2 linked regions of the Callithrix jacchus genome follow. Each later gene encodes a partner of the first gene's protein in a complex. Links are inferred from orthologs where the notes say so. Each region holds a gene or a part of one and is shown on either strand. Other genes may lie near its edges.

Region 1 (4,552 bases):
TAGTGTCTTCATCTTCTCCTGTTCTTTCTACTGTCAAAAATATGCATGAAAGCTTATTTATTCTAAAAAAAAGTTCTTGGCTGCCCAAGTGAATTTGTGGACTTTTTGCAGTAAATCTATAGGAGTTATAAATTGCGAATCCCTCAAGACAGTCCTTATCAGCCAAATACATTTATTATTATTATTATTGTTATTACATGTATCCATGCAATACATATATATGCATAAATATATATGATATATTATTATTAAATTTATAAATTATCAGGGTGGTAGTGTCAGTGCAAGAAGGGATGTATCTGGAGTCCTTAACTCAACAAACAATTCATGTGCCAGAGAACAGATAAGCACAATGATAAAGCAGACTTGTACTCTGCCCTTAAAGAGTCTGTTCCTAGCCTGAGTAAAATAGGCTTCGATTGCAGGCATTTAACTGACTTTCTCTTCTACTAGTAGATCTGGTAGGCTTTTTGAGCAGTGGCAAATAAATAGTTCAAAAGAAATGTATGTTAAAATCTTGTTAGAAACTAACATAGTGTACAGATTAAGAGCACAGATTTGTGTGCCAAATGTACTGGATTTGATTCATAATTCTGCTGCTTCCTAGCTTGATGACCTTAATCAAGGTTTTAAAGCAGTCTATGTCCCAGTTTCCTCATCTGTAAGATGAGCCTATGCTAATAGTACCTATATCACTGGGTCAATGTAAGGATTAAGTCATTGTGAAGCACTTTTAAAAGTACTTGGCATCTAGTGAGCCCTATGTAAGTGTTTATTAATAAACAATGCAATTTTTAAAAGAGAGATTCCTACCTTATGGCCATAGATTTGTATTAATTCAGTCTAATTTGTCATCCCTCTCTGGAGGTAATTTCAGAGTCAGGTTAATGGGCCAGCAATTAGGCATTCATTCCATGAGAATTTTCTTGATTGAGCCCAAATATATTATGCAGAGAGATAATGAAAGCATATCTAAACACCTTCAGAAACTAAGACTATTCTGTAGAATCTTATAACTTGGTTGGGCCTTTAAGAGCATATAGCTCAACATCTTCATCTTACAAATTAGTAAACCAAGACCAGAGAGTTAAGTCATTTTCCCACAATTACACAACTAGAGAGGAGCTTACCCACTAGAATTGCCTTGTCTCCCTGGTTCTGGAGACCTAGTTCCTGTTTATAAGTTTCCTAGGCCTCCCTTTGTCTCCCTGTGGCTTATTGTAGAGTCAGAGGCTGTCCCAGAAACCCAGCTTACAATAAATTTGTGCATACTCTTCACTCTCTTTGTTTCTCTTCTCTGCCCTTTTCAGCAATTCACACCATTGCACATCTATTTAATGTGGAATGGTGTGTGAATGCCCGAGTCAACAATTCTGATCCTTATTCAATAGCACTCTCTGAACTTGGAGACAGGCCAAATGAAACTTATCTCAACTTTGCTCGAAAGAGAATCAAGGTAAGCCTCTCATTATCTGATTCAGATATTCTCTATGTCATTATTACTGAGGATTAGATTTCAGTGAGTGAAGACCTCTACTTTGCCGAGAAAAAAAAGTTGGCTAACCATCAGAGGGACAAGTCTGTAGGTTATAAGAATGGGAGTATAGAAAAAAATGTCTCTCACACTCCTCATCCCATGTGTGGAGGTCTCTAGATGTTTTCCAGGTCTTTAAGCTCATCCATGAGAATGTGCGCATGTGAGGCCTGGAGTAACTCAGGCTTACCTGTGACTATGCCCACCAGTCAGAGAAAGCTGCGAACACAGTCGAACAAGGTTTGGTTTATTACTTGCTACAGCAAAAGAAATCTAACACCTTGAGGAACTCTGGGCATCTCAAGGGGATGTAAAGTAGAACATGTTATAAGATTTAGGATTCTGTTAGATGGTTTAGGGGAAAATTTAAGAATGCAAGAATTTTCTCTGGATCAGTTATGGTCAGGAATTTGGGGTAGTTCTCAGATTAGGTATCTTAATTATTTTTCTTAGGAGGCAGCGGGAACAGAATAGGACTAAATCTATAATAGGAAAAGAAGCAGTAGTCATTGTCTAGGATCAGACATGATTTTGGAGAGATTTTGTTTTTATCTCACTCTATCACAGTCACAGAGTGACCTCATCTGATGTTGGTGTTTTATGAAATTATTTATGTGAAGTAGCGAACATCCTGGCCTAAGTATTAGTGTAAGGCCAGCCACCAGCTGACAGTTGTCAGTGATTCCTTTGTCTTTTCTTACAAACAATATCTGAGGGATGGCCTATGTCTGTTAATTGTCATTCCTTGAGAAGCATAGGTACACTGGGAGTAACTCAGCAGTTCTCTAGAAGCAGCCAAGAGGGTATCTAGAAGAACTTCTTCCATCCCAGCAGCTGTCAAAGCTTCCTACACTCAGAGACAAAAGCTCCAAGTCTTCATGCACCCAGTGACTTGGGAAGATGACTAAATCACATTAATATGCACTGAATTCCAAAAATGTTTTCTTGTGTTTAGAAAACATCCTTAGTTTTGGCCGGGCGCGGTGGCTCAAGCCTGTAATCCCAGCACTTTGGGAGGCCGAGGTGGGTGGATCACAAGGTCAAGAGATAGAGACCATCCTGGTCAACATGGTGAAACCCCGTCTCTACTAAAAAATATACAAAAAATTAGCTGGGCATGGTGGCGCGCGCCTGTAATCCCAGCTACTCAGGAGGCTGAGGCAGGAGAATTGCCTGAACCCAGGAGGTGGAGGTTGATCGCACCATTGCACTCCAGCCTGGGTAACAAGTGCGAAACTCTGTCTCAAAAAAAAAAAAAAAATCCTTAGTTTTGAAAAGTAAAATTGTCCACAGACTGATATGAGAAAAACTTGTCTGATATACCTAGGCACAGAATTAAACACGGAATTAAGCATAATAAAAACCAGATTTTTTTCTACAATATATTGGGTAATATTTCTTTTAAATTGTTTATTGTTTGCCCAATGATACATGAGGGTGGCAATGGGAACATAACTAGGTAAGCCTCCGCTATCATGTTCTGGATCACTTTTACTGTATCTATGTTCTCCCACTCTTCTAAATGTTTCCATTTTCAATAACCTGTAACTGTGTTTCTTCCTCAGAGGACTGCCCAGGGGCTATTAGAGTCCCCTTGCTTACAGGCTCAGAGACCTTGGAAGGTGGGGGCTGGGGGGACTGAATAGTTGCCTGTTCCTATGCAATCCTTAGCCAATAACTGGTGGATGCAGACTATAAATGCCTGGCTTCCCTGCCTTGAGTCAGGATAAACTCTGATTTGTAACTTACCCTCCAGAGTTCCCTTGCAGGGTCAGGTTGAAGCTATTCCCTGGGAGACTGCCTGATTTCACCTCCTTGCTTGACTTGCTTGTCTTTTCTATCTTATTCCCCACTCTCTTACCAGTTTCTTTTGGACCACATCTTTTCTAAGTCACTTACCCATGAAGTCTCATCTTAAGATCTGCTTCTGGGGAACACAGCTGATGATATTTGGCATTCCTAGAATATATTTGCAAACTAAGCACTATCACCTTTTCAAAATCAAAGGCAGAAAGAGCCTTCAGAAACTTTTAGGACATCTTATAGTTGATTGAGTTCCTTTATTTGATACCCCCTAATAAATAACTATTTAAGTATATCAATTCACATTTCCTATGACACCTTAACCATGTAAGACACTTTAAAATTTAGAAACATCTATTTCAAGTCTATATCTCTCTGTGAGGGATGATGAGGATTATTCAAAGAGGGAGTGGAAATACCTATTGTTCTATACATTGGACACTATATAATAGTCCTGCGTTTGAGATTTGAGAACCTATAATAATGTGTGTTTGTGTGTGTGTGTGTGTGTGTGTGTCTGTTTATATTTTACAGAACCCTGAAGGAGGCCTGTACCTGGCTGTGACCCTCTTGGCGGGCATCACTGGAGTTGTCATCACACTGTGCCTCATATTAATTATCACCTCCTCCACCAAAACCATCCGGAGGTCTTACTTTGAAGTCTTTTGGTACACACATCATCTCTTTGTGATCTTCTTCATTGGCCTTGCCATCCATGGAGCTGAGTGAGTGTTTAAACTCTGTAGTCAAAGATTTCATGTCCCTCAATGTCTAGGCACGATGCTCTATTAGAGGCACAGTGACCTCCTTGCCTGTGTGTGGTTAGCCTGTCTGCTAAGGGAATGTGAGGGGACAGCAGAAGTCAGTTTGGTAGAAACCACTCAACATTGGCATTTTTGTTTCATGCACACATGTAATTGTTATTCATAGTGCAGTTATTTATAGCAAGCTTGAAAAAAACACCGAAGTCTGAGTATCCTTAGTATAAAACATGTTGAGAGCACTGGTAGGATCCAGAAAATCTGCAAAGATGACCCTTATGGTTTAATCACTAGTCAATTACACAAACCTCCAAACAAGACCAGTTAATGATTAATTGGTTGAAAAGGTTTGTTATAGTATAATAAGTTTTTATTTAAGCCCACAATCATTTATTTGTTGCCTACTATGTATAAGGACCTATCTCAGGTACTGCGGGAAATAAACAATCAGGAA
Region 2 (5,075 bases), on another chromosome or scaffold:
CTCAGCCTCCTGAGTAGCTGGGACTACAGGCACGCGCCACCATGCCCAGCTAATTTTTTGTATTTTTTTAATAGACATGGGGTTTTACCATGTTGACCAGGATGGTCTCGATCTCTTGACCTTGTGATCCACCCTCCTCGGCCTCCCAAAATCTGTTCCAGGTTCTAATTTGGGGTACCGCACTGCATTTAATACGTTATCCTTTTGTTTTTTAAATTAACACGGAGGTTGCCCTAGGGACTAGCAGTGGGTGGAAAAATAAAGGGGCAGTGAAGGAGGAAGCCCCAGGGTGGCCACAGGGAACGCCTGGCGTCTCCCACCCAAGGTCTCAGCACAGCGTATGCAAAGCGCGTTGGAGAGACACTGGTTTGCTGGTAAGTGTCACAGTTGACTTGCCCGGTGCTGGGCAGGCGCTTTAGGAAGTTGTGTTTTCCTCTCTGTAAAAATCAGTGTTGTGAACGCAGTAACTTGTGTGAACTGCTCTGAAAGGGCTCGGCCTCCAGGAGCCTGCTGAGAATCCTGGGCTCTGCCAGCCAGCGGGCCCTGGCCCTCTGCACACTCCTGTGGGATTCCTGGCTTGTCCTGAGGGACGGTCCAGGGTGGATGACCAGTGGCTCTTCCTCTCCCTGCCTCTGTCCCTTCCCCCTGGACCTGGAAAGGCGTGGGGTTGGGGAGTGATCACGACGATCAGTGAACTTGGTGCCAACAGGGGTGATCGAATGTTCTCCCGAGTGTCCTCGGAGAGCCCTCGTGGCTAAGGGAGTTCCCTGAGAGCTGGAGAATGCAGGCTTTGTCCCCTCAAACAGCAGCTGGAGCCAAGAGCTCCAGTTGGAGAAGAGCTTGGAGTAAACTGAGCGTCAGGGTGGTTTCAGGCTAGGTGGTCAAATGACTTCTCAGACCGTCAGTTTTCACATCAGGGAAGTGGGCCACAGTTCCTAGATCCAGAGTGCCTGGTGACCCAGGGCGGCCTCAGGACAGGCTTGGTGCCTGTAGGGCACTGCCTGCCACTTCCCCTCAACATGCCTTTCTCCATCTGTGGACCACACCTTCCCTTCCTGCCTCATCACTCCCCATCCTCCCACACAGGCCCTTCCCTGGCGGAGCCCCTGGGTCCTGGCTCAAGAAATCTCCGTGAACCTGGAGTACCCTCTTTAGAGCAAATGTTTCAAGAGCCAGCTCCAATGCTGCTTGCAGGCCCCCAGCTCTCCCTCTCGGTAACACTGAGGTCCTCTCTGTAGAGTCCCCATTGCCCCAGTCACTTCCTGCCTGCTTTCTAATCTCCCGTGATGAAGTCCTGCCTCCCCCTCTGCAAAGGGTGTAAACTCCAGGGACCAGCTGTCTCTTGTATCCTGGGATCACTAGCACCTGGTAGTATGTCTGGCACACAGTAGGCACTCATTAAATGCTGTGCTTAGAACTGAGGTGTACTTGGAAGCCTCACGTTCTTGGAGAACAGCCTCTGGGCCTGCCCAGTGGTCAGAAATTGAGCCTCCTACCACAGAGGGGAGGCCGGAGGTGGGGGGCTGCAGGGATGGCCAGGGCTCAGCCAGCACCTGAGCGCCCCGCCCACCAGCTGCTCCTCCAAACCGAATGCTCCACCCCCTGCAAACGACCTTGAGGGCAGCAGCTTGGGTAAGTTCCCCTTCCGCTTCCTCCCACCCCACCACTGCTGCTCTTCAGCAGGCGCCTTGCCAGCCTCCACACCCCTTGTGCCTGCAGAAACGCGCCTGGCCCTGAGCTGTCACCACTGACACTGTCCAGGCCCCGGACACGATGCAAGCCATCAAGTGTGTGGTGGTTGGAGATGGGTAGGTGCCTGGCTGGACCTCCTCACAGCCCCCAACTGGGATGCTGTGAGATCCTCCCGCCCTGGTGTCCCTGGGGAAGCCCCTGGCTCTGCAGAATTAGGTGTCCCTGGAAGGCAGCTTGGAGGAGTCGCTTCATTCTTCTCCTAGGGCTCACAGCTAGCACCCCGGGGTGGGCTGAGGACAGCTTCACCCTCTTCAGCCCACCCACCCTGGAAGCCATCTGGGTGGAGGGTGCAGGACTATGGCTGGGAGTGCCCAGGCCCCTTACCTGCACCCCCAAAGCTGGGGGCAGGTCTCCCACGGAGGTGAGCCTCAGCCTTCAACTCTGTGGATGCACCCGCGAAGTGGGAAACCAGAAATTCAGCCTTCGTCCCCAGGCTGACTTGGGCTCTCGTCACTGGTTTGGTGCTGCTGTGTGGCCTTGGGCAAGTCACAGCATGTCTCTGAACCTCAGCCATCTGGGAGGAGGAGGCCTATGCCCTAGGGATGCTGTGGGGTCGCTGGACATAAGCTGAGTGGCTGTCTTGCTTGTAATGTGTGCTCAATAACCACCCCCTGCTGGTACCACCCCCCCCTCTCTCTCCCTTCCCCTCAGCCTGCTGGGTTGGGGAGGATGTGTGGGGGATGTGGGCGAGGAGCAGAAGGGGCAAGGGGACGTTGAGAGACAGAGAGGAGAGGGAGGAGGTGGCCGCAGGATGGGAGGGCGATTGTGGGATCTGCAGGGGAGGGGCAGGCTGGGCTGACACCTTCTCAGTTGTCAGATCCCAGTGACCCCCAGGCTGTCATGTCTCCTGGGGAATCTCGGTTTCCTCATCTGTAAAATGACGAGTCTAGGCCAGGTGCAGTGGCTCATGCCTTTAGCCCTAGCGCTTTGAGAGGCCAAGTGGGGAGAGTTGCTTGAGACCAGCCTAGGCATTCACAATGAGAACCCATGTCTACAGAAACTTTTTTTTATCTTTTTGGCGGGGGGGGGGGGGTCTCACTCTGTCACTCAGGCTAGAGTACAGTGGCGCAGTCTTGGCTACTGTAGCCTCCGCTGCCCAGGTTCAAGCGATTCTCCTGCCTCAGCCTTCTGAGTAGCTGGGATTACAGGTGTATGCCACCACACCTCCCTAACTTTTGTATTTTTAGTAGAGACAGGGTTTCACCATGTTGCTCAGGCGCTGGTCTTGAACTCCTGACCTTGTGATCTGCCTGCCTGGCCTCCCAAAGTGCTGGTATTACAGTCATGAGCCACCAGGCCCGGCCACAAAAACATTTTTAAAAGCTAGGAGTGGTGGCACGCGCCTGTAGTCCCAGCTATCGGGAAGCTAAGGTGGGAGAATCGCCTGAGCCCAGGAGTTTGAGGATGCAGTGAGCTATAGTTGTGCCACGGGGTGACAGAGCAAGACCTGTCTCTTAAAAACACAAAATAAAGGGACAGGTCCCGTTTGTCAATCTGTCGTGCCTGCCAGCAGCCATGTCTTAGGGTCCAACCCACAGGCCCAGCTTGGGGCTTTCTGTAAGTCCATCGCAGCATGTTCTAGCTGGAAGGAGCCTCTTGTCCAGCCCTCCCATGCTACAGAGGAGCAGCCCAAGGCTGTAAGAGACTCAGCTGTCCTGGCCTGGGTCCTGTGGCCCCCACTTTGGCTCTGACTCATCCAGGTGGGGGTGGGCCCGTTTGCCCACCAGCCTCAGCTGATTCTGATACATGGCCGCTTATCTGCCCACGCCGGCCCGGGCCTGTTCACTTCTGCTTTCTATCTGATCTGAAGAGGGGCAGGCGGAAGTCAAGGGTTAACGTCCCAGTCATTCAAAGTTACCTCGGGACAGGCCCCGGGGAGGACTGTGGTAGAGAGGAGAGGATGAGCTGTCTCCTCTGAGCAGGAAGTGACAGAACCAAGCAGGGCAGGGGAAGGCCCAGAGCTGCCCCTTGGTCTCCGGGCTTTGGCTGAGCTACCTGCACCTGCTCCCAGTCTCAAATGCTGGGGGTGGGGGAGGTGCGCAAATAATGACGTTCTCCGATTACCGATCCCTTCCTTCCTAGGTACCAGCTCTGGGGTTAGCCCGGCCTTCTCTATTTGTCCTCTCACCAAACCTAATAGGTTTTTACAGGTGGGAAAATGAATTCAGGGAAGCTATGCAGTTTGCCCAAAGCCTCACAGGATTTGAACCCAGCCCATTCTGACTCAAACCCTGGTCTAGTAACTGCTCTGCTCCATGGGGAGGTGAGAGGGAAGAGCTGGGTCAGGCCTTCCCTAGCAGCCACCGGCTGCTGCCGTGCGTCAGGCCCTGTGCTAGGTGCTTCGATAGGCATCGTTGGATTTATTCCTCAGCACACTCCTATGGGGATGGGCTCATCCTGATTTTCTAGATGGAGAAACTGAGGCAGAGGCAGGTTAAGTGACTCGTCCAGGGTCATGCCACTGAGCTGGGATTTGAAGCCCAGGCCAGGCGTCGGGGCCCCTCGGCATGGCCTGAGTTTGTGGGGTACCCCCTCTGTGTGACATCTCTGGTCCCTGGAGAAACCTGTGGGAAATGCAGATTCCCAGCTCTGCGAACACCTGTGGGTCAGAATCTCTGGGGCTGGACCCTGAAGTCTCCACTTTAACAAACACGCACAGGACCTGCAGGCTCTCAGGTGTGAGAACACAGACATGGGGTGTCTCAGACAGGGAGACAGGGCCCAGAGGGCTAGGCTGGGTGGATGCTGAGGTCTTCGCAGAGGATGGGGCAGAAACCTCCCCATGTCTCCAGCAGAGCCCATGATCGCCGCCCTCTTGCACTTCCTGTCTTTCAGGGCCGTGGGCAAGACCTGCCTTCTCATCAGCTACACCACCAACGCCTTCCCTGGAGAGTACATCCCCACCGTGTGAGTTCCTGGGGACACGCAGGTGCTGGGAGGAGGGGAGAGAACGTCACCAAGTCGACCCGCTTTCAGGCACTTCCTGTGGGCCAGACCCTGTGTGGGCACCCGATGGGGTGCCAGAGCCACAGCCTCCAGTGGAGCAGAGCTGCCTGATGGTCCAGCCAAGAAGGCAGCACTGGCACTAAGAAGTGCTGGGGGTGGGGGGGGGGAAGGGGTGGAAAGGGAGGAAGGAAGGAGGCAGTGGCCTTTAGGCTGGGTCTCCAAGCAAAGCGCTGTAGAGGAAACGGCGGGCTTGGGCAGGAGCAGGGGCTGGGAGAGGAGCCTCTGTGGAGGCAGGCTGGGCTCCAGGAGGAGGTGATCCAGAGGGTCTGGCCCCAGGGAGCAGGGACACCTGGGGCCGTGGCATGCTGAGGGGCAGA

What was found. Proteins that work in one complex are often made in the same cells at the same time.
Region 2: CYBB (region 1) and RAC2 share a complex: the UniProt entries of both Homo sapiens proteins name them as parts of the phagocyte NADPH oxidase complex. The link is inferred for Callithrix jacchus from reciprocal best matches to the Homo sapiens genes CYBB and RAC2.

What each region holds. Positions count from the first base shown.
Region 1 is NC_133524.1:38,573,295-38,577,846, forward strand, and holds part of CYBB (NADPH oxidase 2), read left to right. Parts: intron 1-1,310; coding exon 1,311-1,456; intron 1,457-3,871; coding exon 3,872-4,062; intron 4,063-4,552. UniProt on the Homo sapiens protein: Catalytic subunit of the phagocyte NADPH oxidase complex that mediates the transfer of electrons from cytosolic NADPH to O2 to produce the superoxide anion (O2(-)).
Region 2 is NC_133502.1:208,154,738-208,159,812, reverse strand, and holds the start of RAC2 (ras-related C3 botulinum toxin substrate 2), read left to right. Parts: upstream 1-1,662; 5' UTR 1,663-1,773; coding exon 1,774-1,808; intron 1,809-4,587; coding exon 4,588-4,659; intron 4,660-5,075. UniProt on the Homo sapiens protein: Plasma membrane-associated small GTPase which cycles between an active GTP-bound and inactive GDP-bound state.